Alligator mississippiensis: one gene and its partner. The protein of the gene in region 2 interacts with the protein of the main gene of each other region in a pairwise test. Links are inferred from orthologs where the notes say so. Each region holds a gene or a part of one and is shown on either strand. Other genes may lie near its edges.

Region 1 (15,206 bases), on a different chromosome or scaffold from region 2:
CCCGGCGGGTTGGTGCACCACAGCAAGTCCCCCGAGATGAGCAGGGGGCTGCTGGGTCAGGGCTTGGAGAGGAGAGCTCAGCTGCCTGCTGCGGGGGAGCCTGGTGTGCGCCAGCACTGTTACACTGAACCGGCTCCACCCCAGAGGCGGCTGCACCTCAGCTTGGGCCAGCCCGGCTCTGTGGCTCTGGACCCCCTTCGCTTCCTTCCTTTGGCTGCGGGCTGGAGCCGCCTGCCAGCAAAGCCCCTCGGGCTTATGAGCGTCCTGGGCCGGACGCCAGAGAACCAAGGAGTCTGGGCCGCTGGGTCCCCGGTTGCCACCCAGGCGTGCGGGACCCCAGCCCTGCTGCTCTGGCCTAGGACACCCCCTCCCAAAACCCAGGTGTCCGGGCCCCCGTTCCTCCAAGCATCCAGCCCGCCCCATCCCCATATCCAGGGCCTCTCGGGGCATGGGGGGCCCAGACCGGCGGGGCTGGGGGACGGCATGGGCTGGACCCTGCCGGCAGCTTGGCCCCAGCCCAGGCAGGAAATCGGCTGCAGATGTTCCCTGCAGCCCCTGGGGTGGGGGAAGGGCCGGGGGGGGGGGACGGGACTGGTGCCCCCAGAGCTACTCAGCCTTGCGGGGGGGGTGTGCAGCTGTTGCCCCCACCCCAGGGGAGCTGCCAGCTGTCGGCTGGGAAGCAGCTGGCAGGGGGTGGGGAGGGGCCCCTTTGTTCGAGCAGGCCTGGAGACCTCCCCACCATGCCTGCACACGCATGTGCAAGTGGCACACAGCGTTGCATGTGGCTCCGGGGCTGCAGTGTGGCCGTGTTCCCCCCCAGACTCAGCTGCATTTTGCTGGGGCCCTGATAAGGCTGGGGGAGGAGGGGGTGTTGCTTGAACCCCGCCCCCCCAGTGCCTCCCCCAGCCCAGCTGGGTTTCCACAGCCCTCTTGCACCCTCCAGCTCCATGCATGTCATGTCATGAGTTTGCAGGGCTCATCCATGCCTGATATGGAGGGAGCTGCCCCCCCCAAGCCCTGCTTCCCTCCCTTGCAGCCCCCACAGCCCCCCCCAGCTCATTGCTGAGGGCTGAGGTCAGCGAGCAGCCGTGTGCAGCCGTGTGCGTGTGCGAGGGAGCCAGGGCCACGGCTCCGGCCCAGTGCCTCCCCAGGGGAATGAGCTCAGCGCCCAGCGGGGGGGCTGTGCTTAGGGGGGCAGGCGAGGCTTCGCATGTGCATGCATGTGCGTGAGTGTGCCCGCAGTGCTGGGTGTGTGTGCATACTCAGGTGCAGGGGCATGTGATCTTTGGGGCTCCTGTGTGCGTGCCTCTGTGCATATGTGTGTGCAAGTGATCCTCTCTATGTGCACACATGAGCGTGGCCTTGGGTGAGTGCAGGCAGGCATGCGTGTGAGTGGATGCATGCATTCCTGTGTGTGTGCATGTGATCTTCTGTGCACACGTATGTCCATGTACAGTAGACATGTGCCAGTGCGCGGGAGCCACAGGTGTGTGTGTATGCATGTGTGTGTGGGCAGTGCAGACACAACTCTGTGTGTGCAGTCTTCTGTGTTCAAGTATGTGCACAGGCATGTGCATGTATGTGTGTGCGTGCAATTCTCGGTATGTGCATGTGCGGGCGTGCGTGTGCCCATGTACTTGTGTGTACAGGGAACATGCTGTGGGTGTGAGGGGCACCGGCAGGGCTGGGGGCAGGGGCTGCAGGTCGGGAATGAGAGGCACCAGCAGGGCTGGGAGCTATTTCCAGGGCTGTGCTGAGGGGGGGTCAGGCCTCAGCTGCAAAGAGATTAGCCAGGAATGTGCCCCCCCAGCGCCGGACACGCCCCCAGGCCCAGCTGCTGCCCCAGCCCCACCCAGGGCTCCCAGCCCCCTGGCACTCCCAGAAGCCCCTCGCTCCTGACCCGCAGCCCCCTTCCCCCCCATCTCTGCCGGTGCCCCTCACTCCCAGGCCGCTCAACCCATGAGCTCATGCCCCTCGGGGTGGGGGGTGGTTCGGACGCCATAGCACCCCGCCTCCCCCCAAAAGCTGGGCCCTGGGTCTCCCCGTGTCAGAGTCCCCCCCACCCTGGCAGCTGTCCCGGGATTGGGCCCAGGGGACCGTATGGGGCAGGCCTGGCAGCTCTGGGGCTGGGGGGGGGAGGGAAGGGCCCTGGTGCCCCGTGCAGCTGCCGGGATGGGGGGGACGTGACAGGTGCCGGACAGCTGGGCCCGCACAGGCGGAGGCACCGGCTCACAATGGCCGGAGGGGCGGGGAGGGCCACGGGGTGGATGGATGGATGGACCCATGTCCTGGGCCCCGTGGCCCTTCCCGGAGCCGGGGTCTGTGAGCGGGGGGGATGGGTGTCTGGGGGCTGCACACGGGTGGGCCTCTGTGTGTGTCTGGGAAGGGGACTAAGGTGCTCTGAGTGTGTCAGGGGATGTGGGAGGGCAGAGTGTGCGTGTGTATGTGGGCACGTGTGTGTGCAGGTACGGGTCTTCGTGCATGCACGCGGCTGTGTGTGCATGCGCATGCGTGCATATCTGCGTGCGCACACGCTTGGTTGTGCAAATGTGAGGCTCTCTGGGTGTGCATGTGTGTCTGCTTGCATGTAGGTGCATGTCCGTGTGTGTGTGTCTGCATCCCCGCGCCACGGGTGCTCAGGGCACAAGTGCAGCATGGCACTGGGGCCCTGGCGTGTGGGGGGGGAGGGGGCGTCCCATGCCCCGGCTCCTGCCAAGCCCCACGCCCTGCCCATGGCCCTGCTGGTGGGGGGCAGGATCCTGGCCCCGATCCCAGGCACCCCCCCCACAAGCCAGGGCAGCTGGAGCCAGGCCTGGGATGAGCTTCATTTTGTCTTGCCCCCCCCACCTTAATCGGCTTGGCCCCCGGCCAGCGCACATACACAGCGCACAGCACGGCCCTGGCCCCAGCCCAGCGCCCCCTCCTTCCCCTCCCCAGCCCTGGCGCAGAGCAGCCTGGCACGGGGGGAGGCGGTGAAATGCCCCCATCCCAGGGCAGCCACGAGCAGGATGGGACCCCCCGGCCCCAGCACAGCGTGGGGGAGCTGGGCAGAGCGAGCCTGTCTGTGTGGGGGTGGGAGTGGGGAGGGCAGTGTGTGTGTGTGTGTGTGTGTGTGCAGGGGTGCAAGTTTTATATGTGTGTGTCTGTGTGCATGCATGTGTGTGCATGTTGGGGGTGTGCATGTTTTATATGTATGTGTAGGTGTGCATGCGTGTGTGTGCATGTTGGGGGTGTGCATGTTTTATATGTGTGTATGTGTGCATGCGTGTGTGTGCATGTTGGGGGTGTGCATGTTTTATATGTGTGTATGTGTGCATGCGTGTGTGTGTATGTTGGGATGTGCATGTTTTATGTGCATCTGTGTGTGTCTGTGTGACGGGAATGTGTGTTTTACATGTGTCTGCATGTGTGTGCATGTGTATCTGTGCATGTGAGGGTGTGTGTGCATATTTTATGTGTGTCTGTGTGCGTGTGCATGTTTTGTGTGTGTGCACACACATGCAGGTGTCTGTGTATGTTTGTGTGTCTGTACATATTTTATGTGTGTCTGTGTCTTTGTGCCTCTGTGTGTGCCTTTGTGTGTGTGTAAACTGATCCTTTGTCAGTATGCATGGGAGAGAAAGAGGCAGCTCTAGGAAGGACTGTGTGTGTATAAGTGTGCATTTGTGTATGTGTGTGTGAGACCCAGGTGTCTGTGTAAGTGTACCCTCTGTGTAAGAGAGAGGGACAACTCTAGGAAGGAGTGTGTGTGTGTGTGTGAGAGAGAGAGAGAGAGAGAGAGAGGGTTGTGTAAGCATATCCTGTGAGAGACAGACAACTGTGAAGGGAGTATGTTTGTGTGTGTGTGTGTTTACATGTGAGCATGTGTTTGCGCGTGTGTTTATGTGTGTGTGTGTGAGACCCAAGTATCTGTGGAAATGTACCCTCTGTGCAAGAGGAGGGCACAACTCTAGGAAGGAGTAAGTGTGTGTGTGCATGTGTATATAAGGCCCAGGGGCTGTGTAAGCATATCCTCTGTGTGAGAGGGACAATTGTTGAAGGACTGTGTGTGTGCGTGTGTATGTGTGTGTGTGTGTGTGTGTGTGTGAGAGAGAGAGACCCAGGTATCTGTGAGAGAAAGGGAGCCCTCTGTGTGAGAGCAAAGGACAACTTTAGGAAGGAGTGTGTGCATGCATGTGTAAAAGAGAGAGAGAGAGATGTGTGTGTGTGTTATCGGGGGGGAGGGGGGGGTTAAGAGACATAAAGAGCCAACTCCAGGGTGGGCAGCATGTCTGAGAGCCTCAGGTGCGGGGTCTGTGTTGGTGTGTTCTCTGTGTGTGCATGTGTGTGAGCTCTAGGGGGGCGTGTGTCTGTGCAGGGACACGACTGTTGGTGCAGCCTGGACCAGAAGGGGCTCAGCGTGCAGAGCAGGGGGGTGAGAGGAGAATCAGCGTGTGGTTCCAATCAGCGTGTGTGTGTGCCTGTGTGCAAGTGTGTGGTTGGCAGGCAGCGCCGTGCCTGCAATAGGGGTCTGTGCAAGGCCAGTGTGTGTGTCAATGACATGCGAAGATCAGTATGCGTGTGTGGGTGTATGAAGTCAGCGTGAGATCAGGGGGAGGGGGGAGCTGAGGGGGAGGGGAGCTGGGGGGTGTGCCTAGGATGTGTAAAGATGTGTGTGTGTATGTATGCATGTAGGAAAAACTCAGCACAGTGTGGCTGTGGTGTATGTGTGAGACTGATTCTCAGAGCAGTGTGTGTAAAGTTGGCGTGTGTGTGTAGGAACACCTCTCAGTGCAGTGTGTGTGTAAGGCTGGTGTAAGATCAGTGTGTGTACATGACAGAGAGGGAAGGAGAGAGACTTTCAGAGCCCAGTGTGTGTGAGCTCAGCTTGTGAGTGCGTGTGAGGTGTGCGTGTGCATGTGTGTGTGTGTGTGAGAGAGAGAGAGAGAGAGACTTTTAGAGTTCAGTGAGTATGTTTGATTGGCATGTGTATGTGGCTCAGAGCAGTGTGTGTGTGTGTGTGTGTGTGTGTGTGTGTGTGTGTGTGTGTGTGTGTGTATCAAGCACTCTTAGTGCAGTGTGTGTGTGAGTGACTTTTGGGGCAGCGTGTATGTGAAATTAGTGGGCCTGGGCCTGAAGTCAGTGTGAGATCAGTTTGTGCATGTGTGTGTGTGTGCGCATGTGTGTGCATGAATAACTCTCAGCACAGTGTGTGTGTGGTGTATGTGTGAGACCAACTCTCAGAGCAGCGTGTGTGCAAAGTTAAGTGTAGGAACACTGCTCAGCACAGGGTGTGTGTGAGGCTGGTGTGAGATTGACCTCCAGAGAAGTGTGTGCGTGCATGTGTGTGTGTTTATTTAGAGCATTGCGTGTGTGAGGTCAATGTGGGTGTGGTAGTGACAGAAGCCAGTTACAATTTAGTGCACACTACACATGTGGCACTCTGAGCAGTGTGTGTGCATATATAGGAACAGCTCTCAGAGCAATGTGTGTGTGCGGGGGTGATTCTCAGAGTGTGTGTGTGAGGTTAGAATGTGCGTGTGCATGCATGTGCCTGAAGGTCAGTGTGAGATCCATGTACATACCAACAGCTCAGAGCAGCAGTGGGTGTGAGCAAGGTTGGTGTGAGAGTAGTGTGTGTGTGAATAACCCCCAGCACAGTGTGTGTGTGCCAAGTTACTGTGTGTACAGTGTCTATGTGGGTGACTGGAAGCATATGCATGTGTTTGCGGGGGGGTGTCTGTAGTCAGTGTGAGATCAGTGTGTGCAGGAACAACTCAGAGCAATGGGTGCGTGCAAGGTTGGTGTGAGATCAGTGCATGTGTGAATACCTCAGAGTGTGTGTTAATTGTGTGTGTGAAGTGTGGATGACTTTCAAAGGGTGTGTGAGTCAGCATGTGTGTGTAGGAACAACTCTCAGTGCAGTGTGTGCGTGTGTGTGTGAGGTTAGTGTGAGATTTGTATGTGTGCATGCCCCCAGCTAAGTACTTTTGCAAAGTTTGTGTAGATGACTCTTGAAAGGTGTGTGAGGTTAGTAAGTGTGTGTGTGGGTGAAGTCAGTGTGAGATCAATGAGTGTGTGTAGGAACAACTCTCAACACAGTGAGTGTGAGAAAGGCTGGTGTGCGATCAGTGTATGTGAGTAATCCCCAGAGCAGTGTGTATATGTGTGTGGTTAGTGTGTGTGCATGTGTGAAGTCAGCATGAGATCAGTGTGTGTATGAACAACGCAGAGCAGTGGGTGTGCACAAGGCCAGTGTGAGGTCAGTGTGTGCGTGCTGTCAACGCAGTGCTTGTGTGAAGTTAGGAAGTTAGTGTGTGTGTGTGGATAGTGTGTTTGTGCATGTGTATAGTCAGTGTGTGTGTGCATTTAGCGCATGCAGTTATTATATGTGTGCATGTCTATGTGTGTACAGTTGTGTGCGTGTGTGCCTGGGTACCCCAGCCCAGCACTTGTGTAAAGTTAAGGAACTTAGTGTGTGTCTGTGTGTGGGCAGTTAGTGTGTGCATGCATGCATGTGCATTTAGTGCATGTGTGTGTGCAATTAGTGCATGTATGCAGTTGTGTGCAAGAGCACCTCCCAGCCCAGTGCTTGTATAAAATTAAGGAAGTTTGTGTGTGTGAGAGAGATCAGGCAGTGTGCGTGTGTGTGTGTGTGTGCGCACCCACAAAGATGTCTCCCAGCCCATTGCTTGTGTAAAGTTATGGAAATGTGTGTGTATGTGTGTGCATGTGACACAGAAAGAGAGAGAGAGCGATCAGGTAGTGTGCACATATGCAAAGGTGCCCCCCAGCCCAGTGCCTGTGTAAAGTTAAGGAAGTCAGTGCGTGCGTGCGTGTGTGTGTGTGTGTGTGTATGTGAGACAGAGATCAGGCAGTGTGTGTGTGCAAGGGCACCTCGCAGCCCAGTGCTTGTGTAAAGTTATGGAAGTGTGTGTGTGTGTGTGTGTGCGCGCGCGCCCGCAAAGGCGTCCCAGCCCAGTGCTTGTGTAAAGTTAAGGAAGTTAGTGCATGTACGTGTGTGCGCGCGCGCGCGGGCACCTCCCAGCTCAGCGCTTGTGTAAAGTTACAGCATTTCGCGTGTGTGAGCTCAAGCACTGCGTGTGCGCGCCCCCCGCCCTGTCGGCGGCCCCAGCCCAGCGCCTCCCCCGGCCCCGCCGGCCGGCCCCCTTCCCCCCGGCGCGGCGCGGCGCGGCGCGGCGCGGGACGCACCGATGGAGACGAGCTTGATGCGCTCCCGGTCCAGGAACTCGAGCGCCACGGACACGTTCTCCAGCTTCATCTGCCTGAAGTTGGGGCGCGCGTGGAACTTGCGCAGCATGCGCTTCTGGCTCAGCACCTCGAGCAGCGCGATGAGGCGCAGCCCGTCGCTCAGGTCGCGCTGCAGGTCGCCGATGCGCTTGTTGGCGCCCTTCAGGTGCTCGTTGCACCAGCGCGTGAACGTGTTCTGCTGGATCTTCTTCCACGGCGCGTCCTCGGCCAGGTCCTTCTCGGTGGCCGGCATCTCCTCCGCCTCCTCGCCCGGCGCCTCCTGGCTGCTCATGGCTGCGCGCAACTCCGGGGGCTCCGAATCGGCCTCCCGCTGCGGGCTCCGGAGGTCCCGGGTAGCACCGGGGGGTCCTGGGCGCCTCTCTGGGGGCGCGGGGCGGTTTTAGGAGCGCTGGATCCTGCTGCGCGCGGTGCGATTTTCAAACGGGGGGTGGATCCGGGTGGGGTCGAACTCGCGGGGCGGCCTTAGGGGGTCCTCGGAGAGGCGCGCGGCGATGCGGGGTGGCGGTCCCCCAGCGGGTTTGCGGGTGCCCCGGGAGGACTTGCGGGGCGCTGGAGGCTGTCCCGCGCAGTGCGATTTTGGATCCGGGCGCGGTCCTGGGCAGGCTCGGGTCCCTCGGGCGCTGTCGGGGGTCTCCGGCGGTGCGGTTCTGGGGGCTCCCCGAGCACTTTCGGAGGTGTCCGGCGCGGCGCGGGGCGTTGTCGGGGGTCCCACGCGGCGCGCAGCGCGATTTTGAGCGGGCGCAGTGGCCGCAGGGCGCGGGGAGGGGGCTTTAAGGCGGCGCTCCCCGCCCCGCCGCGTCAGGCCGCTGGCCTCCGCGGAATGCCGCCGGGGCCGGGACAAGTAGGGATGCGCGGGCCGCGCGCGGCCCCCCCGAGATAGCGCGGGGCCAGCGGATTGGGCGCCCGGCACGGCGGGGGGCGCCATTGGCTGCCCGGCCCCCCGGGGGGGGGGAGCGGCTCAGCGCGCAGCCTATTTTTAACCTCTGCTGGGTTCTGCGGGGGGATGGGCGGGGAGGGGGAGGGGGCTGGAGGGAGCAGGGGAGGGTCCTGCCCGGCTCCCCCAGGGCCAAGGGAGGGCCCTGCCTCAGTTTCCCCAGTGTGCAATGGTGGGCGGGGTCCTGCCTGCCCCCCCCATGCCGCAGTTGTGCCCTGCCTCAGTTACCCCAGTGTGCATCGGTGTGTGGGGGGGGGGGGGTGTCCTGCTGCCCTCCCAGTGCTAAGGGAGTTCCCTGCCTCAGTTTCCCCAGTACATGATGGTGGGCGGTGGGGGGGCGGGGCTGTCCTGCCTTCCCCCCAGCTCCACGGGAGTGCGCTGCCTCAGTTTCCCCACTGTGCACTGCTGGGGGGTAGTAGGCGAGGTGGGGGGGGGAGGAGGGGTTCTGCCTGCCTCCCAGCACCATGTGAGTGCCCTGCCTCAGTTTCCCCAGCGTGCATTCATGGGCGATAATAGGAAATGTCTTGCTTGCCCCCTCAGTGCCATGGGAATTCCCTGCCTGTTTCCCCACTGCACATTGGTGTGGGGTAGTGGGGGGGTGTCCTGCCTGCCCCCCCAGTACTGCAGGAGTGCCCTGCCTCAGTTTCCCCCTTGCACATCAGTGTGAGCAGTGGTCTCCCTGCTCCCCCCACCCCAACCCAACATGGGAGGGGGGGGCAGGGCAGCCAGGCCCATTCATTCGGGCCGGGTGGAAGGTGCTAGAGCCGGTGCCATCACGGCGCAGAAAAAGCTGCCCGTGACGCACCATGGGGGGCGGGAGGGGGGGTCCTGGCGCGGCCGGCGCTTCATACCTCTCCCATGATGCGCCGCTCAGAATAGCCCATGAGCGGAGCGCCGCGCGGCCGTGACGCAGCCCCCGCCTGCCCCCACCTCAGGGGACATGGGCAGGGCACAGGGTGTGCCCGACGGGGGGCTGCCCCCGCCTTCACCCCACAGCCCTGGGCTGGTGGGCACTGGGTTCAAGTTCTCCCTCTGGGTGGGTGAATGCAAATCGCAGAGGCCTGGACCCCCTCGGAACTGAGCCACCCCCTCCAGAGCAGCCTGCCCTGGGCACCGGGGCCGTGGGGGCGAAGGCTGGGCCCACGGATGCCCCTGGGCCTTGCCAAGGGAATCCCAATCCCTACCCCATGCGTGGCCTCGAACGTGGACCCACCCCCCCGCTTGCTGGGGGGGCTGCACTGGGGGGCTGAGATGGAAATAACCCACCCCGTCACCAGGCTGAGTCAGAGTGGGCCAGATTGGGTGTCCGGGGGCGGGTGGGCACCGTGCCAGCCGGGATGGGACGCCAGGCCTGAGCTGGGACGTCGGGCGGGGGGGGCCGAGGAGGCTCCCAGGCGAGGCTGGAGGGGATCGTCCCGGATGCCTGGGGTCCCGGCGGTGAGAAGGGGTGTGGAGCAGTTGCACGGGGAGCCCAGACTCCTGGGTCCCACTCTAGTGGGATTTAGTGGGGTAGAGCTGGGGCTCGGACTGGAGGGGGCCTGCCCAGCTGGGCGAGGCAGGCAGGATCGGGCCCTTCCCCTGTGTGCAGAGAAGGGGGGGGGGGTGCGTGGTGTCGCGTGTCCCCGCTGTTCCGGTTTCGCACTCGGGCCACGGCTCAGGTTCAAAGCGGCCTCGGGTCCTGGTCTGTGATTCATGCTCCTGGCTGGGCCCCGTGGCCCCCCCCGGCTCCAGCTGGACGCGGGCGCTCGAACCTTCCAGCTCTCGTCGGAGCCGGACGCGCTGCCAGCGCTGACGGGGGGTGGGGGGGGAGCCCCGGACTCCTGGGTCCTACCCTAGCTTGGGGAGGGGGCCGGGGCCTGGTGCTGCAGCTGCCCCCAGGACTCTGGCACGAGAGCAAAGCAGGGTTTGGGGGGGTCGGGACTCCTGGCTTCTATGCCCGAGGCTACGGGTGTCTCTGGGACGGGGGTGCTCTCCTGCCTCAGTTTCCCCATGGGCACAGCCTGCCCCTGCTAGGGGCTCCAAGACCCTGGGGCGAGAGCAGCCAATGACAATGTAACCCTGGAGCCGCAGGCGCTTGTGACCCCCCCACAGCAATCCCAGCTCAGCGCCCCGCAGCAGCAGAGCTCCAGGGAGTAGAAGGGGATGGGGGGCTCCAGGCAGGCCCAGCAGCCAGGGCCCCCCTTGGCTTCTCCCCGCGGCTCATGGGGGAGAGCAGTGGCCTGGAGGCCTGGGGTCCTGGCCCAGCAGCAGGCTCCAAGCCAGGAGATGGCGGGGGGGGGGCGAGTATGAGTGTCCCTGCAGCCGCCAGGCTGGGAGTCCTGAATGGCTGGTGGGGGGCGAGGGGGGGTGTGAGCTGGGGCGGCTATTAATAAAATGCCAAGTCAGAGCCGGCAGGCATCAGCCGCCCGAAATACCCCTGCTCCTCCCCTGACCCCAGCACGCATGGCGCCGATCCAGTCCCGTCCAGCCCTGCGCCGCGCCGCGCCGTGCCGTGCCGGGGGGGCTGGGCTGGGCCGAGCTGCCCTGTGTCGTCATGCCCAGGATCGGGGCCGTCTGTACATGCCTGCGGCTGGGTATGGGCTGGAAAAGCCCCCGAGGGAAGGCGTGGGTGGGTGCGGGGATCCCATGTCCTGGCAGTGAGTGGGGCTTGGGATAGTAAACGTGTGTGCACGTGAGCCAACACATGGACACACACCAACATGCATGTACACACACACACAGGTCAGCATATGGACATGCATACACGTGGGCTGGGATATGGACAAACATGCACTAGCGCGTGTGCACACCCATGTGCCAATAGATGGGCATGCCAACACACACACGAGCTGGGCTATGAACTCATGCACACGCACACACACAGGCCAGCACATGGAAGGACACACACCCAGCCTGGGGCATGGACACACACGCCAAGAGATGGACAAGCCAGGATATGAACATACATACACGCCAACAGATGGATATGCCAACACACACACGCACATGGCCAGACACACACATGGGCTGGGATATGGATGCACACACCAACACATGTGCCAACAGACAGACACACACCAACACACACACAGCTGTTGGCACATGGATGCACAGGCCAGGATGCAGGCACACACACATATGCACACATGTGCCAACAGCTGGATGCATGCCAATACATAGACACAGGCCAAGATATGACCGCACCCCCCAAACCCCCCTGCCTCTGACACACATATAAACGGGCCAGGATGTGAACACACACACACACGCGCGCAAACACACACAGGCCGTCTCATGGACACCCCCCTCCCCTTGCAGGGCACACAGCCCGGCCGCGGGTGCTGAGTCACGGCGCACAGAGCAGGGCCCGGCCGCGTCACGCTGGCGCCCAGCTGGCCCCAGCCCATCCCAACACCCCCAGCCCGGGGCTCCCAGCTCGGCCCCCCCAGGCAGAGCCATGGAGGAGCTGTGGGGGCTCCAGCCAGGTCCCCCGCTTCTCCCCCACCTCCAGGGAGCTCGAAGGATCCCGGATGCCTGGGTCCCCTCCCTGCCTTCCCTAGCTGGGGTGGGGGTGGGCCTGGACCTGGGGGCTGTGATGCTCCCCCCCACCCCAGCTAGGTGCCCCCTTTATGGGGGCTGCTGAGGGACCAGGGGGACACAAGCTGGGGCAGGGCAGGCTGCGATCACCCCCCTCCCCACCCCATGCCCTTGTCTGGGGTCCAGCCGCCCTGGCAGCTCCAGGCAGCAGCTGCGCGTGCGAGGAACGCGGTGAGTAAGGCTCACACGTGTGTGTGTGCACGGTGACAGGGACACGGTGTGCTTCATGCTTGGGCCAGGACAGACCCCCGCCCAGAGGGAGCTGGACACAGGAGCCCTCCAAGCCGGGCAGCCACCAGCCCCACGTGAGACCCCCCCCGGCAAGCCCCTGGCAGAGCAAATGCCCCTGGTGCAGGACCCCCCACCCCAGCCCGTCGGTGCCCCCGTGCCCACCCCCCAGTGACGTGGCCTGCACACGGATCCAAGTAAGTGCTGAGAAAGTTCCTTTACTGAGTGACAATGGAGAACCAGGAGAAGGAGCAGGCTGGCACCCCTGGGCGGGGAGGAGGAGGTGGGGGAGCAGCGGGCGAGGGCAGGCTGGGCGCAGGGTCTTGGATGCCCGCCTGCGCGTGCTCTCATGGCCGGCTCAGAGCTGAGGGCCACGGGGTTGCGGGAGGATGGCGAAGGATAGGCCCTCGTGGCACTTGGTGACACGGGCACATGCCCATGGGTGCCACCGGCAGCTCTCCCGTACCCCCAGGGAGCGAATAAATAAACAAGCACAGGAAGGGGCTGGTCCCTCCCCCCCAGGACTCCCCGAAGCTAACCCTTATCTCGAGGGTCTCCAAACCCCCCACCCTGTGGCTGCAGCTCTCTTTGGCGGAAGTGTAGTTATTGCAGCGGGTCCGGCGGGGAAGGGAGCCACGTGCGGGGCAGCGCCATGCCAGGTGGGGCTGGGGGTGGACCCGTGTGTATTGCTCTGTTGCCCCCCCCAGCTGGGTGAGGGGTGGGGATGGTGGGGGGCAAGACTGGGGCCCTGGGTGGGGTCCTGGGAGAGGGAGGGGGGTGACCCCCTGCCCCTGCCAAGTACTGGAGATGTCCTTGGGCCAGTGCCCAAGGTTGGGGGCTGGCATGGGGGGGAGCTGGCATGGCTGGACTCACCGGGGGCAGTGACTGGGCCGTGCCGGGGGGCGGCTGGAACACAGGTCTCCGGCTGTCGTCGTTGCGGGGGTGGGGGGAGCGGGGAGGGATAGGGTGGGGGTGCCCACGGACACGGGCACCTAGGCGGGCAGGGAGCAGGTGCAGGCCTTCTTGAAGCAGGGGACCAGGAACAAGGCGGCAGCCGCCACGGCGAAGAGGAGGATGGGCTTCAGCCCGCCGGCCGGGACCTGCGGGGGCACGGGACGGTCAGTGCCAGGACAGCCACGTACGATGCCCGGGACCCCTTGCCTTGCCCTGCTGGGGGGCAGCTTGCAGGCACGGGGCACCGATCCTGGGCACCAGCGATCACCCCCTGCTGGTCACTGGGGGGACGGGCCCTGCCAGAGATCCCCCCCCAGCAAAGGGAGCAGGGTGGGGGGGTTGGCATTGGCACCGCAGTGGCAGGGTTTGGGGGCACAAGCCAAGGGGAGAGGGGCAGAGACAGAGAGAAGGGGGAGAGGGGCAGGGGACATGGCCCCGGGCATGGCACACAGAACATGCAAAGCACATGGCACATGCAGGGCACATGGCACGTGCAGAACTCATGGCATATGCAAAGCACGCAGCACATACAGGGCACATGACACATGCACAGGTCATGGCATATGCAGAGCATATGGCACATGCAGGGCTCATGGCACATGCAGAACACATGGCACATGCGGGGCATGACACATGCAGACCTGCTGGCACATGCAGGGCACGGGGCAGCAAGCACTTGGCCATGCACGGGGAGGCAGGCGGCAGCAGCCCCGGCGCGTACCGTACCTGAGCAGCCTCACGAGGTCTCGGCCCACCAGCACCAGAGCAGAGCCGCTATAACCACCAGTCCCACGAGGGGCAGGGAGAGGACGGGGGCGCCGGCAGTGGGGCGCGGCTGGGGGGTGGGGGGCAGCGGCAGCCCAGGAGCAGGGAGGGGGCCCGGAGAGGAGAGAAGAGACACAGAGAGATTAGACGGGGTGGGTAGGGGGTGCTCGTGGGCTCCGGGCTGGGCCCCACGGCCGTGTGGGGGTGATGGAGACATACAGGGCCAGGCCGGGCATAGGTGCACAGGGTACCCTGCTGGGGTCTCCTGGGCTTGGGGGGGGGTAGGGCTGGAAGTGCTCGTGGGCACCGGCTGACACCCCAGCAGCATGCCACAGGCACCCCGCGGCACCGGCCCCCGGTGCCACCTACCCGCCCGCCGCAGGGCACGGTGCCGTTGAGGCGCTGGATCTCTTCGCGGCACAGGCGCAGCTCCTCCATCAGCTGCTCCCGCTCCTGCCGACTGGCTTGGTACAGCCGCTGCAGCTCGCGCAGCTCCCCCTGCATGTCGTCGCACTGCCGGGGCGGGAGGGCAGGCAGGTGAGTGGCGCGGCACGTGGGTCAGCGCTGCTCGCTGCGGGCTGCCCACCGGGCCCCCACCCCCTGCTGCCCCCGGTACCTTGCTCTGGGCCAGATGCACCTTCTCCTCCTCGCTCTGCAGCTGGAAGCGCAGGGTGACCTCGGCCTCGTTGCCATCCCGGCTCTGGGACCTGGAGCCGTCGGCCGCCCGCTCTGCTGCGGGCCTGAAGGAGATGCTGCTGGACGGGCGGGGGCTGGCGCGCCGGGGAGAGCGGGACCGCCGCGGGGGCCCGTTCACATCCAGCAGCTTGGTGGACTCCTCCGATTTGGTCCTGGCCCTGGGGCGGGAGCCCGGGGTGGGATCAGCCCTGCACCAGCCCCGGCCCAAGTGAGATCAGCCCCGTCATCGTCACAGCGCAGCCGGGCTGGGGGGTCACATCCAGTCCAGCCCCCCAGCTCCGGGCAGCGTCACCCCGTCCAACCCCCCCAGATGTGGCCTGGCCCTGACCCCAACCCCATGCTCAGCAATGAGGCCCATTGCCCCACACCCCCTGGTCCTGCCCCAGGTGATGCCAGGGAAGAGGGGGCACAGTGCCCTTCTACTGCCAGGGGGTTCAATGCACCGAGACCCCAGGCCATGCCCCCACTGCAGAGGGAGGGGAAACCCCCCCAGTCCAGGCTAGGCTGAGCAGAGAGAGACCCTCGAGACAGAGGGCAGCAAGCAGGAGCCCCACAAGTCCCACCGGCTCATCCCATATGGGAGGCACGCCGGCACGGGATATAGGGTCCCGGCTGCAGGCGATGCCCGAAGTGGTACCCGCCGGTGCCCAGCATGACCCTCACCTGTACTCCTGAGCCTCCAGTTTCTCGAGCTGGTGCACCATGACCTTGTTGCTCTCCTGCAGGGTCTGATACTCCTCCAGCAGGTCCCGGTACTGCCCCCGCAGTGCCTGCAGCTCCTCTGTGGGCACACGGGCCTGGG
Region 2 (15,463 bases):
GCCAGAGGATTACTGAATGGCTAAGTACTGAATGGCTGTGAAGGATCCCCATGGCACTATCCAAAGCATAACTCCAAACCAGGAAGCCTTAAAATGTTTAATGGAAGTGTGTCCCTAAAAGCAGCTCAGACCAAAGGACGAACCAGTACAGCTAAAGTGAGGCAGCAGAAGTTGGGATAACGATGAGCAATAGAGCTACAACTTTCATGGCCACTAGGTGTCACCACAGTTCTTCTCCTAGCGGTTTGGCAGGCACCTGTTACACTGCTAAGTCTGGAGGATTTTAAACCCTCCCCTTCTAATCTTTTGTTCTTTGGAGGAGCTCACAGAGCCGTGATTAGTGATTACTCCGTGCTGCATATTTGCAGGGAGAGCCAGTTTCATACCTCTGAGTACTGGCAGCAGGTGTCTGGTCCTGCACAGCCAGCTTGGTAGGCATGCTGCAGGAGGTGGCTCCCTGGGAAGAATGCCTCATGGATGTATGAATCAAACAGCAGCTCTTCTTCATTCAGCAAAGTCTGAGGCTATCAGGGCTCTGGACTCCCATTGCACCTCCAGGGGGTATCACCTGTAGCAGACCTCATCTGCTGTGGCAGGGTCACCTGCCACTCCTGAAATAGTCTTCAAGGTCAGGTACAACAAGACAAAATAACTCTGAATAGGGGTCATGGACATGGGTCAGGGCATAGATCCCATCACTCTTGTTCAGGCTCTCCCCTTCAAACACTTCTCACCAGCATGAGACAATAGCAAGATCCCATTTTTCACTGCTGACAGTCCTTCCTGACTTCAGCATGTTTACGGATGCAGAGGTGTCAACCAATGAAAAATATTCTCAGGAAAGACATTCAGAGTTCATCTGAGCTGTTGAGCTCGGAGAGGTGGGATGACAGAATTAAAATCAGCATATGCCTTCTAGGTCCATGTTCTTCTGTCATGTAGAACTGCTGGGTTTAATGAACCATACATTTGTGTCCAGGGACGAGAAGTACCTTCAACTCTAAAGAAGAAACAACCCATGGCTAGGAGTAAAGAGAAGGCTGAAAGCCAAGCACGGAATCAAAAAAGGAGCCTCAAAGTGAATTTTTCACCAAGCTCAGTTTTGTGTTGGAGCGAAATAGGAGATGCTGCCTAATATTGTTAAGTTCTCAGGGATGGGAGCCTGGTACTCAGACCAGTCTGCAATCCCCTAGAACAGGAATAGGCAACGTTTTTGGGTGGAGTGCAGAAAAAACCATTATGTCTGCCTTGTAAGGTACCAGAGTGCTGGCATGTCAGAGAAACAAAACTGGGCAGGGGGTACATGGCAGGACACACTGCATATTAATATAGTTAATAATCATAAATGGTCCTTTTTTTTTCCTTTTTTTTACAGTAAATACCAGGTTTTCTAAACATTCTAAATCTGGTAACAGTAACTAAGACTTCATATACTACATGTGCACACAGAACCAGACACACACATGAGCACACACAGAAGTAGACACACACGTGTGTGCACACATGCACACACACACACTTGGCCAGGCTGCTGGGCCACAGGACAAGTCCAACCCAACAACACCTTGGGCCTGCGACAGCTCCTGTATTTTCCTAGGAAGCCAGTGCCAGGGCCTTGGCCTGGAACCCACCCATCAGCCAGCTGCAAGGGTGGCACTAGGGGGGCTGGGGGGGGCTATGGCCACCCCAAAATTCGTCTTAGCCTGCCCTGTGCGGCAGAGCCTGCAAAGCTGTGTGCTCCTGGGTAGGGGGCTAGGCTCAGACTGGGGCAGGCAGTGGCTGGAGCCAGAGGGATGGCTACAGGGGATCTAAAGTGAACTTTGAGGTGGCCATAGCCTCCCCCACCCCATGGGCTTCAGACCCCAGTTGGGCTTTGTGCCAGTGGCTACTGTGCGCTCCCCTCTGGGCAGCCGGCAGCAGAGGCGCCTGAGGCAATGCAACGCTGGTCCCTCCCCCGCTGTCCACCCAGTGCGCTGCTCCAGCCCCTAGGGGTGAGCTGGCCAGTAGCCTCCAGTGAGAGGCCCTCCGCAGTGCCTTCTCAGGCCCAGGCCCTGGCCCCTGGCTAGGAGCTGCGGGCAGGCAAGGCCGGGGCAGCTGCAGCAGCTATTCCCAGGGCCCCGGGGGTTTCCCGCAGCCAGGCCCTTACACCCAGGGCACTTCCACCCCTCCCCACTCATGCTGCACCAGTGGGCAGGGAGGCCGAGCTTAGAGCCAGGAGCCCCCCGAGCCAGGCAGCATCCCCCGTGGGCAGGGCGGCTGCACCCCAACCCTGCAGAGCTGCGCAGGCGGGGTCCCACCTTGGGTACTGCTGGGAGCCCCTGTCCGTCCACCTGCCTGCTGCGGCCCAAGCCCATGGAGCCCCAGGGCAGCTTGCTTTCTGCCCAGCCCCCCTTCTCCAGGGGTTGGCCTGTCCCCAGTGCCTCCCCCCACGCTGCCCAGACTCTGCCCCTGGTGCCCTGGTGCTGCCCCTGCCTGGCTGGGACAGGGCATTGAGCCTCGGGACCAGGGCTGGGAGCCTCCTCTGCAGTGCCTGCCTGGGCCACAGCCCTGCTTCCTCCAGAAACCAGGCCGGGCTGGAGGGCACAGCAGAACAGAGCCAGGGCCCCTGCCTCTCTTCCCCTAACTCTGTCCCTCGGTGCCAGCCACGGTGCTGGGCCCTGTGGCTGCTCCAAGGAGCCTGAACCCAAAACTTCAATGGGTTTTTTTGTTTGTTTAAACAATTTCCCGCACCTCTCTTGGTGTCCCGGGGAAAATGTCTCCATGCACCACTAACTGGCACACATGCCAGGGGTTGCTGATCTCTGCCCTAGAATGCTGCAGATGCCATGCAAACAGGAATTCAGTGGCTGTGAAAGGTTTGGCCTCTGCCCCTCTGAGGGCCCCAGAAGGTGGCTGTCAGTGCTTGTGCTCAGTGTGGAGTTGGGAAGCATTCCACCCCCTCGGCTCTCTTGGGCTTTGCCTCCAGCTCTGTATATATAGACACATGAGGAGAGAAAATAACCTCCTCGGGGCTGAGGTTCCAAGGACAGGGCAGGACTTTACATAGAACAGAATGAGGGTTACTGTATCACCTTTCAGACTATAGGCAGCTACAGAAAGCTGGGATTAGAAATGGGGACTTCTGCTTGCTTACTACTCATACTGGTGTAAATCAAAAGGAATTCCATATGAGCCAATAGAAATACACTGCTGTGAAAGTGGTGTAAGCAAGATCAGAGCTGGGTCCTGGAAGTGGAGTGACCTACTGGGACAAACATGGTCTGCCTGGATATCTTCATCTGTTCAGCAGTAGCTAACAGGCTAGAGCCTGATGGATAGTGCTGGCCAAGATGTTAGGTTCTGCCCAACTCATTGGTGTCTTTGAACCTGGAGTAGGAGCCCAATAAGAAATACTCTCCTACTGCAGAGTTCCCTCCGTTCATAACTTTCTGCAATCATGGCCTCTCCTCCACCTCCCTGAATCTCTTTCTTTCTTTCTATACCGCCCTAACTTTTCCTTGGCTCCATGGATCATTTGTATCTATACCTCCAGTGAGTATGGAAGCATCATGCCTACTGCTGCCGGGTCTTTGTGTATGTCCATGATGTACTCTGATGCCAGCTTTCCTGTCTTCTATGCAACTGTAACTCTCTGCCACTGCTTGGGTTGAAAAATCAGTTAGGAACCAGTGGGATGGGGGCAAGGGAAGGAAGCAGAGCAATTCAAACCTGGGGGAGGTGAGCATGACAACAGGTCTCTCCTCTTATAGCAACATTTCTGGCCACCCCAGGGTTCAATCTGTTTCCAGGTAATATCCATTTCTTGGGCATGAACTTCTTCCCTCATGATTATCTTCCATCCAGAAAGCCTCGGACTGGAACAGGGCTGATTTTAACATCACGTTGGTGACAGGAGGAAAGAGCCTTGGTTGAACTTGCATTTCTCTCTCTCTGGAGGAGGCCCATGACCAAAACCAGCACTGCAAAGGCCAGGCACAAAGAAAAGCAACTCAGCTCAAAGGATAGGTGTTGCTATTCAGGTGGTTAGGACAGGAAATCTGGTTTGTGTGGAGGGAAGAGAAATTGGGGTGGAGGAATGGGGCATGGGAAAAGGAAAGGTAGCAAATGGGATTCACATAAATAGGACATCATGAATGGCGCATACAGGAGGGAACTGGTTTCCATTGCCCATTCTTCTCCAAGTCCCTTATTTGATCTAAATCGGGGTGGGCAAGATATGACCCTTGGGCTGAATCTGGCCTGTCAGGCCATTCTATCCGACCAAAGGGACCCCCTAAAATTTAGAAAATACTTATCTGCTCCTGGCTGCCTGTCAAAGATTACAGGAGACAGGGGCAGTAGGACCCAGGGAGAACTGGCAGCAGGAGCCAGAAGCCCAGCCCCACCCCACCCCCAGCCATTTCCCTGCCTTCCTGCCCCTGAACTGCTCCAGCACCATGTGGCTCCAGGCTGCATTCCTGGACTGAGAGCACGGGGTTGTGCCGGTACCCCGGTGTGTATATGTATGTGTGTCTGTGTAGGGAGGGAGTGTGTGTATGTGTGTTTATAGGGTGAGTCCCACATGCACAACTCACCGTACACATGCAACCACACCCCCACCTTGCACTTCCATACACGCAGCCCCCCACATCCCCTCACACACCCCAGCCAGACTCCCCCAACATGTAGCCCCCACAAAGCCCATATCCACCCATGCCCCACATATAAATAGATTTCATAGACATTAGGGCTGGAAGGGACCTCGTAAGATCATTGGGTCCAGCCCCCTGCCCAAAGGGCAGGAAGTCAGCTAGGGTCAAAGGATCCCAATAAGATAAGCATCCAAATGTTTCTTAAAAGTGTCCAGAGTAGGTGCTTGCCCCACCTCTGGGGGAAGTCTATTCCAGGCCTTGGGCACTTGGACAGTAAATAAGTTTTTTCTTATGTCCAACCTAAAATGGTCTTCCAGCAGTTTGTGACTGTTCGACCTTGTCATCCCTTGGGATGCTCTGATGAATAGGCATTCCCCGAGATCCTGATGCACACCCCTTGTGTACTGATGCCAGCAAGTCACCCCTGAGCCTGTGCTTTTCCAGGCTGAAGAGTCCCATGGCTCTCAGACTCTCTTCATAAGGCCTATTTTCTTGCCCTCTGATCATGTGTGTGGCTCTTCTCTGAACTCTTTCAAGCTTCTCCACATTCTTCTTGAATTGTGGAGCCCAGAATTGGATGCAGTACTCCAACTGCGGCCTCACCAAGGCTGTGTACTGTGGGAGGATGACATCCTGGGTCTTACTTGAGATGCATCGGTAGATGCAAGCTAGAGTTTTGTTTGCTTTGCCAACTGCAGGATCACATTGGTGGCTCATGTTCATCTTGTGGTCAATCATGACCCCCAAGTCTCTTTCGGTAGTGGTGCTAGCAAGTGTAGCATTGCTGAGCCTATAATTGTGATGTGGGTTTTTTCCCCTCTGAGGTGGAGCACCTTACATTTCTCCATATTGAATGCCATCAAGTTTTCATTCGCCCACCTTGCAAGCCTATCAAGGTTGACCTGGATCACCAGCCTATCCTCAAATGTGGATACTTTTCCACAAAGTTTGGTGTCATCAGCATACTTGGCCAGTCCACTTCTGACACCAAAGTCCAGATCGTTTATAAAGACATTAAGGAGTACAGGTCTGAGAATGGAGCCTTGGGGACACCACTGGTCACCACGCACCATGTTTATTTGGTTCCATCAACTACCACTCTCTGGGTCTGACCTTGGAACCAGTTCCCCAGCCATCGGACTGTAGCGTAGTAGAGGACGCAGTTGCCCAATTTTTCCATAAGGAAATGATGGGACACCCGGTCAGAGGCTTTTTTAAAGTCCAAATATATGATATCAACCTCTTTTCCTTTGTCCAGGTGATACATCACCTGGTCATAGAAGGAAACGAGAATGATCAGGCAAGACCTACCCACAACAAACCCGTGCTGGCTATCCCTCAGAATGTTGCCTTCTGTTAGCCTGTCAAGAATGGTATCTTTGATAATTTTTTTCCAAGATCTTTCTAGGGATTGAGGTCAAACTGATTGGCTTGTAGTTGCCCAGATCTTCTTTCCTCCCTTTCTAGAAGATAGGCACCACATTGGCCCTGTTCCAATCTTCAGGTACTTCACCCGAGTGCCACGAATTCTCAAATATCCTGGTCAGTGACCACACTATGATGTCTGCCAGTTCCTTTAGTACTTCTGGGTGCAATATCTCCTCACACACCCAAATGCTTCCTCACCCCACACCCACACCCTCCCCCACACCTGACATACTCACACAACCACAGTCTCCCACAAACCTATACCCCCCCAACAATATACAAGAGTAAGACTTCATTTTAAGCTATTATATACAATCACCTTGATGTACACTACAGAAACACATGTAAAGCGGGACAAAAATATTTTTTTAAATCAAATTAATGAATGTTTTAGTTGTTCACTTTTTAGAATATAATTTTTTTTTTCTGTTTCTGGGATAGCAAAACCCCTTGCTGAAAGGAGTACTTCTGGGGGAAGGGGAGGGACTTCTTGTGGCAAAGGTCAGGGGTTAGGGGGCAGGACTTCCAGTCCCAAGATGGCAACCAGGGGGCGTGGTACATGTCAAGGGGCGGAGCTACCCATGCGGCCCTTGACAGCTTGCAAAACTCGGTAAGTGGCCCTCCACCCAGAATAATTGCCTGCCCCTGATCTAAATGGTCCCCCGTATTGTTCCAACCTCCTCCTCTTCAGACCTTCCCTGTGGCTGGTCTCTGGTTGTGTTCCGCCACCCAGAGCAGTGACTGCATTTTGCAGACACCCAGCTGCTGTTCTTTTTCCACCAGCACAAATCCCTTACATTCATATGCATGTCGTGGCAGGGAAGAGAAGTTCCCTGAGCTGCAGAATATAGCTGCTACATATGCCTTACAGGAAGAAGAAAATAATCCTTCCAATGCTGCCCAGCATGGACAGTATTTGCAAGCTGGGCCTGAAACAAGTTTCTATGTGTCCTCCTGTACACAGCAGGTAGGCACCTGAATGGGGCCACTCAGAGGAACACTTAGAATCACAGGAAAGTAGGGCTAGAAGGGACCTCAGGAGGTTGACTAGTCTAACTCCCTGCTCAAGCCAGGCTCATCCCTGAGCAAACCATCCTAGTCAAGCGTTTGTCCACTTAAACTGCTGCAAGAGGGGCTACTGAGACCTGGGCAACTGGTTATCCAGGTAGGGTGCTAACCCAATCCATAACCAGCCCCAAGATCACCAGGACATGGTGCAAACCTTTGGCCCTTTATGACTTGTAATGTGCAGAGTTGGGCCAGAAGTGAAGAACCTGCTCTTTGTTCAGCCATTTATACTTGGCTGAAGCCCCAGCAGCAGCCTAAGCCAGTGGGTAGCTGGCTGTGATGATGTTTTACACTTAGACTTCGCACACTCATAAATGACTACCCATGGAATGAGGATCCCTGTGCCTGGCTCTCAAGCAGCACCTACAGCAGGCAGAGAATCTTAAAAGCCAGACTGTTCACTTACTTGCAGCTGTGTTATGCTGGCATGGTGTCATGTCATTACTCTCAATTCACACGAGAGTGAGAGGAGAATACGGACCTTACCATCTGTCAACTGCCTTGTGCGTCAGCTGTGTTTGGGATCCTTGGGGAAGGAAGTGGTGCCTACTGCAGTAGTGAGTGGAGAAGGAAATTAGGTTATTCCATGGGCACAAAGGAGGCAGTGGCCGGCTGCAAGAGAAGGAGTGATAGGAGGCTGCGTGCCAGGAGATGGGCTCCCAGTCCCTGTGAGGTGAGGTGATTACTGTGAGGTAGTGAGGTGATTACTGTCTGTGTCATCATCCTGATTCCCAGAGCATTGCTCCTCTGGGGTTTGGATTCAGGACCTATGAGGGCTCAATTCACTCTCACCCTACATTCTGGTCAGCTATTTATGCCACTGCATTGATCTGACTGGGAGGGTTTGCACACATTTTACACCAGGCCGAAGGGAATTAGCCTACCATGAGGCTCTCCTTTGATGATCCATCATTTCATTTTAACTCTGCAGTTTTTTTTATTAGATCCTGCCTCATTCAGTGCATGGGTGGGCGGGGGGGCATGTCTTGGACTATGAGTTGGCCCTGCCATCAAGCAGGCTGTGATCTGTAGGACTCTGGCTTCATTTGCTGAAAAAGTTGGGAGGAATAACCCTGGAGTGGGTAGGCCTCAGCCTGTCTTCTCCAGGTGGGGTGACACAAAGTCAGGCAGCTGGTTATAGAAGGAATAATAGTGAAATAGGGATGGGGATGTGGTGACAGGATCAAAATCGGGGCACCGGAAGGGAAGACTGGGCAGAAAGCTACGGACTGTGCCTACCTCTCCTCAAGGAAAGTTCTCTGGCTCTGGTGGAAGCTGCCCAGAGGAACTCTGCCTGGAGATGGAAAGTGCCCCTTTCCCCTGCCATGTGCTCTGTACCCTTTCAGATTTGAGGCACCCCTTGGCACACTTGAGGCAGCACTGAGAAAATGCCAGCTCTTTGTTTTTACTCTGTTTTTGACTACAGAAAAATAATAGAGTAAACCATCTGTTGCAAAGAACTCAGACCACAACAGGGCAGGAAGCTTTTAATAGTATGGGTTCCTATTTGAAAACTCTGAGTTTATCTTGTGAATCATATTTGCACCCCTAACACTGCTAACACTGTGGGGCACCCTTGAAAAGATCTTAAGGCATCTGAGGGTGCCACATCACCCTGGTTGAGAATCATTGGAGTAGGGCATTGGGGGAGGAGAAATTACAAGGGTGTGAAGTAGGGGATAGAAGTTTAGAGGAAGCAGTGGCGTGCAGGGTGAGGTGGGTGCAGAAGGTGCCATGCAGTCAAGTGAGGTTCAAGGGTGTGCAGGGCACACAGGGATATAGGATAGCGCAGGAGGGGGAGGAATTATGAAGGTGTAGCATAGTATTGAATGGGAAAAGAACACTGCTTTTATACAGAGGGAGAAGAGCAATGGTTTTGACAAGCCAGGCACCCACATGGTGTTTGGATCAGGACTGCAGGAGCAATAGGAGTGCTGAGGTGCACTCTTTTCCTTTCCTCCTCTCCCCTGTGCTGGTGCTATCTGAGACCCATGTACTCTGTGCTGTCTACTATTAATAACCTCAGGATGCCTGTGTGACCGGTCTCCAGGAGTCAAATTCACAGCACTCCGCATCAGCACTCTGTGCTGTGCAGACCTGGACTAAGAACGTGTGCCCTGGGTGAGCAGGGGCTGGGAGCCGAGCCTCCTGCAAAGTGCCCAGAGGAGGGACGTGGAGACCATCCTGCCATCCCGCTGCAGCAGGGCCCTGGGAAAGGGGTGTGTATATGTGTCTGAGCCTGGCACTGGGAGCCTGAGGTGAGTTCTTCTAACAGCAAAATAACAACCCCAGAGCCTAGAGAGAAGAGGACAAGGGCAGAAATGGAGCTAGAAGGTAGAGACCAGCCTCACACTGCAGCCTGGGGACAGGAAAGCAGTGCTGGAAAGTTTGCTGCAGATTGGTGGGGAGGAACTGTGCTGCAGAGCACAGCCCAGTTGCAGGAAAGCTGTGTTTCTTGCCCCAGCTCTGTGCCTGGGATAGTAGTTGGGTGCAAGACCATGGTAGCCTCTCTCTTTGGAGTCTCTGAATGATCTATCATCCTGGCTTAGCCAGGGGACAACTGAATACTGCAGGATTCCTGTCCTGCCTGGGATTCCCTCTCCTCCCCTGGGCTCAGTGAGCACTATAGGTTCCCCTGGCCCTGAGCCTGCCTGGGAATCAGTGAAGGATTAGAGAGAGGACACAGCAGGTTTCCTTCAATCTCACCCTGGGATTATTGTGTTGTGTTAACAGAGCTCCACCCCTAGTGGGATGACCTCTCCCCACCTACTGCTGGGAGTTCATATTTCAGGCAGGCAGATTTCTCTCCCTTTTCCCACTCTAAAAATTCCCAGTCCCTCCCCCACCCAGGTATCCTGGCAGCATCATGCCTGTCCTGTCAAACAGCACCCTCCCCTTTTTATATAGCTAAACAGATGTCTGGCTGCTCAGAGGAGAATGCATAGTGCATGCTTTACACTGCACCTGCTGACACTTTATTTGGGAATATACCATGGTTGGCACTTTTATGATGTGAACTTCATGGAGATGCTATCAATAGAAAGTAAACCCTGGAAATCAGGAAGAAAACCTAACCCAGGAGAATACCATACTTGCCAAGAGCAAACAGAGCTGGTCTGGTCTGGCTGAGCTGCTATTAGCACAGGAGTCAATCAGCTGTCTGGCCACCTCTCAAAAGCATGTTCCAAAAGCAAAACAAAAAAATGGAGAAGTACTGAGAAATATCTGCATGGCAAAATATGTGCCACAGACATTGCCTAAATTCTTAGGGCACTTGTTTCTTTGTTTTTGTGTTTAACATAGCTCTCAATTTAAAGGATGCAGTTCTGAATCCCAGTGCAAAATGGCAAAGGGGACAAATGACATAATTAGGCTTTCCAGCCAGCTGACTTTTGCAATTTGAAGCTGAAGTCCCTGGAGCTGTGCCAGTTTATAATATCAGCCTAGGATCTGACCCCTAGAAGTTGTTTGTGCCACCTTCACCACCATGCAGGACTGAGGGTGGAGGAAGGTTTGAAATGGATTTGCAGGGCTTTCTTTTCTGCTCTCTCAGCCTTGTAGTTCAAACCTCTCCCCCTAAGGGAGACAAGGACAAGATGATGTGTGAAATCAAGTCCCCCAAACCTGAAGGGTCTGTGATAAACTGAATAAATAAGACACAAGTGTAGGTGACTTCAAAGCATGGGGGCTTTTTCGTCTAGCCTGCTTGCCACTTGTTTCCTTTGTTTAGCTCTTTTGGAGTGGATCACCTACAGTGGTAAAAGACCAGGTCCATTATGGAAAGAAAGATCTCGGCAGCTTGTCATCTGCTCAGTTTTTGAGGGACAGTTCTAACTTTATTAGGACTATCCTATGTTCCACCATCTAAGCTTCCATGTTATTCAAATGTTCAAAGTATCTTCTCCTGGGCAGATACCCCAGCATCATTACAAGCAGATGATCTCCCACCACCTAATGATATTTACATAGCGTTGTAGCAATTTTATGTTGCCATGGTGTGATGTTGCAATATGACTTTTTGTCATTGTTTGCTAAAACAATAACAGGCATGGTGTAGCACAGTGCTTTAACACTGTGATGTTACAGTGCGGTGTCTTGGTGAGGCAAGATTATGTTATAACAGGATGCTTACTTTGCCATATGTTGGCATATTGTGTCTTGATATTAAGCAACCACAAAGACATCATTACAGCTTGACATGGAAGATGATTTTTTTTAGCAGTTACTCCACAGGTAAGGGTTTGGAGAAGAATCTGGATATGAAACAAGGGCTGCGTGCTTCATCGCAAAGCAGAGGCAGAATACTTGGTTCCATTGTGTTGCTCTAGTTTTCCAGTGTCTCATTCTCTATTTCCTTGTCTCCTTAGACTGAAAGAGAGATTCCTTTGTTGTAATGCCCCTGGCAGGAACTCCTGCTCCCATCAAGAGGAAAAAGTCCACTAAACTAATTGGGAAACTAAGTGAAGAAGGTAAGATGCACATATCTCCCAGAAATTCCTGTTGGTAGGTTTCAGTGAGACATAAAATTACAACTCCAAGATAGAGCATTTGCTCACCTCTGTATCTAGGAAGGTGACACCTGGGAGGTAACAGAACGGTCACATTCCTAACAATGCCCATTGCACAAATGCACCAACTCTGTGGGTGCTCTGGGACTCAAGCACCCACCAAAAAAATTAGCAGGTGGTCAGCACCCACTGAGCCATGCTTGCAGATGTTAAAAAACAAACAAACTATGCTTTACCGGAAGAAGCAGTAGGTTACTTCAAATGAGCTCTGCAGAGTCTGTAGAGATCAGGCACTTCAGTGGAGCTTTTTGGCATTTTTAATCAGCTATTAGAAAAAAAGCCCCGCTAAAGCACCCGATGTTTACAGATGCTTCAGAGCTGGCTTGAAGTAATGCACTGCATCTTCTGGGCATGTGCAGGGCTCGGCACTTGAACACACTGAGTTAAAAGTAAAGTGCCGTTTTGGTTTTTTTGTTTGTTTTTTTACATCTGTAAGCACCCATTGGCAAAAAACAAAGTTGGCACCTATGCTGTTGCAGGTAGCATCCTGTGTTTTCCACTTACTGCTGGCCTCTATTTGGTGCTCTGCAGGTCTGAATTAGCCCTTCAAAGGAGACTGCTAGATGATGAATGGGATGGGAAAGGGTAAGGAAGCATGACATATGGGCTGGAAAGAGTCCTGGAAGCATGTTGTTCCTGTCCTTCCTTGGAGTCTAATAGGTGAACATGACCTGCAGTGCCCAGGCCAGTAGGTAGGCCCTCCTACATGATTTGTTAGATGCCAGCATATAACCGTACCATATTTTATTAGTCTTCCCTCCACAGGGGTTAAGTAATCCCTCTGGGCCAAACTCTAAGATGAATCATTGGCTACTATGGAGTTACTACAGTGGAGTTACACCAGATTTAAATCATGGTAAATGAGAGCATAACGTGACTGCTTAGCCATGCCTGTGTACTTGTCCCTTTAATGAGCTATGCAGCTGTACAGATCCCTCAGTCATTATCTGTGGCCCTCATTTGCTTTTCTTCTGTAGAGTAGAAGCTCCTTGATTCTGGCACTCACTAGTCATAGGGTCAAGTTCTTCATCTGAGATAAATGAGGGGGAATGCAAGCCTGTGTCCTGCAGGACTGGAGGTACTTTTCCTTCAGCACTGTCTGTGCACATTGGAGTGGATAACATGGAAGTAGCAGAGACACACCCTTTTTATCCAAGGTTTCCATAGAATTGCAAAGCAAGTAACTGGTTGTTATTCCTTCCTCAGCTCTCAAAGAGGATCTCTGGAATCTGCTCTGCTAGGGAGAATGGGGCTAAGAGCACTATTATATAGCCTTTCAGGTTCATCCCTAAAGCCCTGTATTCACACCAACAAGCAAATATGGCCCTGTGTCTATAACAGTGCTCCTTTTAACTAGCTGTGTATCCAAATACATCCTATGTTCAGGAGAAAGGTTCTCTCTCCTTGGTTGGGGAATGGTGCTGTATGAAGCTGGCTTGTTGAGGAAAGAATCCTTTCAGGGATTTTGCTCATGTGTCAGAATTTGTCCAAAGGATGCAGGGTTCAGCATGCCATCCTTGTCAATGACTCTTAAGGGCAGGAAAACAGTCACCTGTCTTTGTGGTGTAGCCACCTGATCTGTCACTATTACTATAAGCTGCTGTAACTCCACTGAAATGAATGGAATACAAAAACCAGGCATTCAATCTAAGTTTATTGCCATGTCAGTAAGAGTTAAAAGTAACTAACAGAGTTTAAAAAGAGGACTCTCTCTTGCTTAGGGTAGATAAAGAAGGTCTAAAAAGCTTGTATTTATGTTTAAACCCTACATTTCTTCTGCTTAGCCTGTCCCTGGAAAGGGCTAATGGGATTGCAATACAAGGGACTGGAGGCTAATGAAAGGTGAAGAATTGGTTAAGGGAGGGCCCTAGCCTCAGTTTTAGCTAGGCTGTAGTGCAGGACCTAGCACAGAATGAAAGGCAGCCTAGCATGGAGTGAATGAAGGGAAACTGCCCCTTTCATTTATCCAGGGGACTCAGCAGATCTGTAACTAGATAAGAGCTGCCAATCAGGAAAGTCCTAATGGCATCATGACCAACTGCAAAATACAGCAGAGATCATTTTAAAACAAAAATAAACTCTATAATTAACTACAGGGAATTATTTTTCAGGCATGCTCATGAATTAAATCTCAGCCATTTGCATGGCTGCCTCTTAGGGCTTATTCCAGTGGTGTCCCAGTTTTGTCCTTGCTTCTTGCTTGTCATCATTGTTTAAAAGTGTAAATGGCTTTCAAGTGAACAGACCTCAGAGCAGTGGACAATTCAGGTAACTGAAAAATGGGGTGTGTCTGCAGTAGTAATGCTTTACCATACACGCATCCAGATGTATTTTGAACGGGAATTAGGGTAACTTGCTTTGATAGATGTCCAGAAAACCATCAGGAAAAGGAAATCTGTGTAGGCCTGTTCTATTACTGGAACCTTTCTAATGTAGACAATGCTTGACTTGTGCATGGGTGCTGGGGAATAAGAGAACAGAGAGCATGCTAAGGTGCACCTTCTGGTATGTTTTTTAGTCATGCCACAGGAAGGGTCCAAGCTGAACCTGGGGAAGAAGATCAGCATCCCCAGGGATGTGATGCTAGAAGAGCTCTCTCTCCTCACCAACAAAGGATCAAAGATGTTCAAACTACGTCAGCTGCGGGTGGAGAAATTCATATATGAGAATAACCCTGATGTCTTCACTGACAGTTCAGTGGTAGGTCAGAGAGTGCAACCACAGCTGGTTCATTACATATGGGAATAGGTGGGAAAGTTGAATTGCTCTGCTTTTGCCTTGGGAACGGGAAGAATCCTTATGATGTGGAGTCTATTGGTGAGAAGTGTGGGGGAAGGCCATGATTGCAAACAAGCTCAAAGAGTGACACTCCTTTGTGTCTCAGCATTAGTTTCCTTCAGGGCACATTGGGGACCCATTAATGAAGCAATGTCAGTAAAACTCAAATGGGGAGAATTATAAATGCTATAGATTGCCAGAGCTGTTTACCAATAAGTACATGAGTGTTGATTGTTTTAATCATTGCATTTCCCTTCTCCCACCAGGAATAAGTGCTTCATTCAGACCTGAATTCAGACCCCTGGGTTCTGTTCCATTTTCACTGTAGGCCATGGTATTTTTCATTCTTCTTTGTCTTAGGCTTCAGTTCACTTTTGAGAGAATATCCATGAAGTAAAATTCAGGTACAGGCCTCTAGCTGCCAACACTGTAGTTATTCGGTGATGTTTAATGGGAACTTCTGGGTAGAGCAGTAAGCCTAACATCCTACTTTATTTTCACTATTGTTTTTTCTTGTCCATAACAGTGCAGAAAGTCAGGCACATCCAGTTTCTCCTACCCCAAACTAAGTTTGTTATTTAAGCTTAAAAATTGAGGCTAGTCTTTTCTCTTTTTCACCAAAGATTTCTACCACCCTCCCCCCATTTCAGGAGTTTGAATTACTGAAGCAGCAGAAAAACAAAATTGCAAATGCTGACTCAATATCTCCTTCCCCTGTCTGTTCCTTAAAGCTTTAGTTTCTTCTCATCAGCCCAGTTGTTCTCCAATCCAAAGGGTCTTAACTTAGGGAGGTAACAAACCCCCTCCCCCCCCAAAAAAACCCCCACTAAATCAAAATAGAGGGTTCAGAGCAATCCACTTGTACTGGACTGGAGTGCAAGAAACCACCAAGCTAAGCCACAAACTAAGAGCAGACTGTCAGAAAATAGAGATCTAAATTAGAGTCAGGAGCAAAGGAAGTAGAAATCAGGATCCATCAAGTCATTTTGG

The links.
Region 1: the proteins of MYOZ1 (region 2) and FLNC interact in a two-hybrid assay, tested with the Homo sapiens proteins (2 studies listed by BioGRID and IntAct). The link is inferred for Alligator mississippiensis from reciprocal best matches to the Homo sapiens genes MYOZ1 and FLNC.

The regions. Positions count from the first base shown.
Region 1 is NC_081827.1:2,767,003-2,782,208, forward strand, and holds the start of FLNC (filamin-C), read right to left. Parts: upstream 8,009-15,206; 5' UTR 7,523-8,008; coding exon 7,192-7,522; intron 1-7,191. Other genes in the region: CCDC136 (coiled-coil domain-containing protein 136), read right to left, coding at 12,982-13,089, 14,078-14,221, 14,325-14,592, 15,068-15,185.
Region 2 is NC_081829.1:25,425,830-25,441,292, reverse strand, and holds the start of MYOZ1 (myozenin-1), read left to right. Parts: upstream 1-9,169; 5' UTR 9,170-9,385; intron 9,386-11,494; 5' UTR 11,495-11,520; coding exon 11,521-11,596; intron 11,597-14,213; coding exon 14,214-14,395; intron 14,396-15,463. UniProt on the Homo sapiens protein: Myozenins may serve as intracellular binding proteins involved in linking Z-disk proteins such as alpha-actinin, gamma-filamin, TCAP/telethonin, LDB3/ZASP and localizing calcineurin signaling to the sarcomere.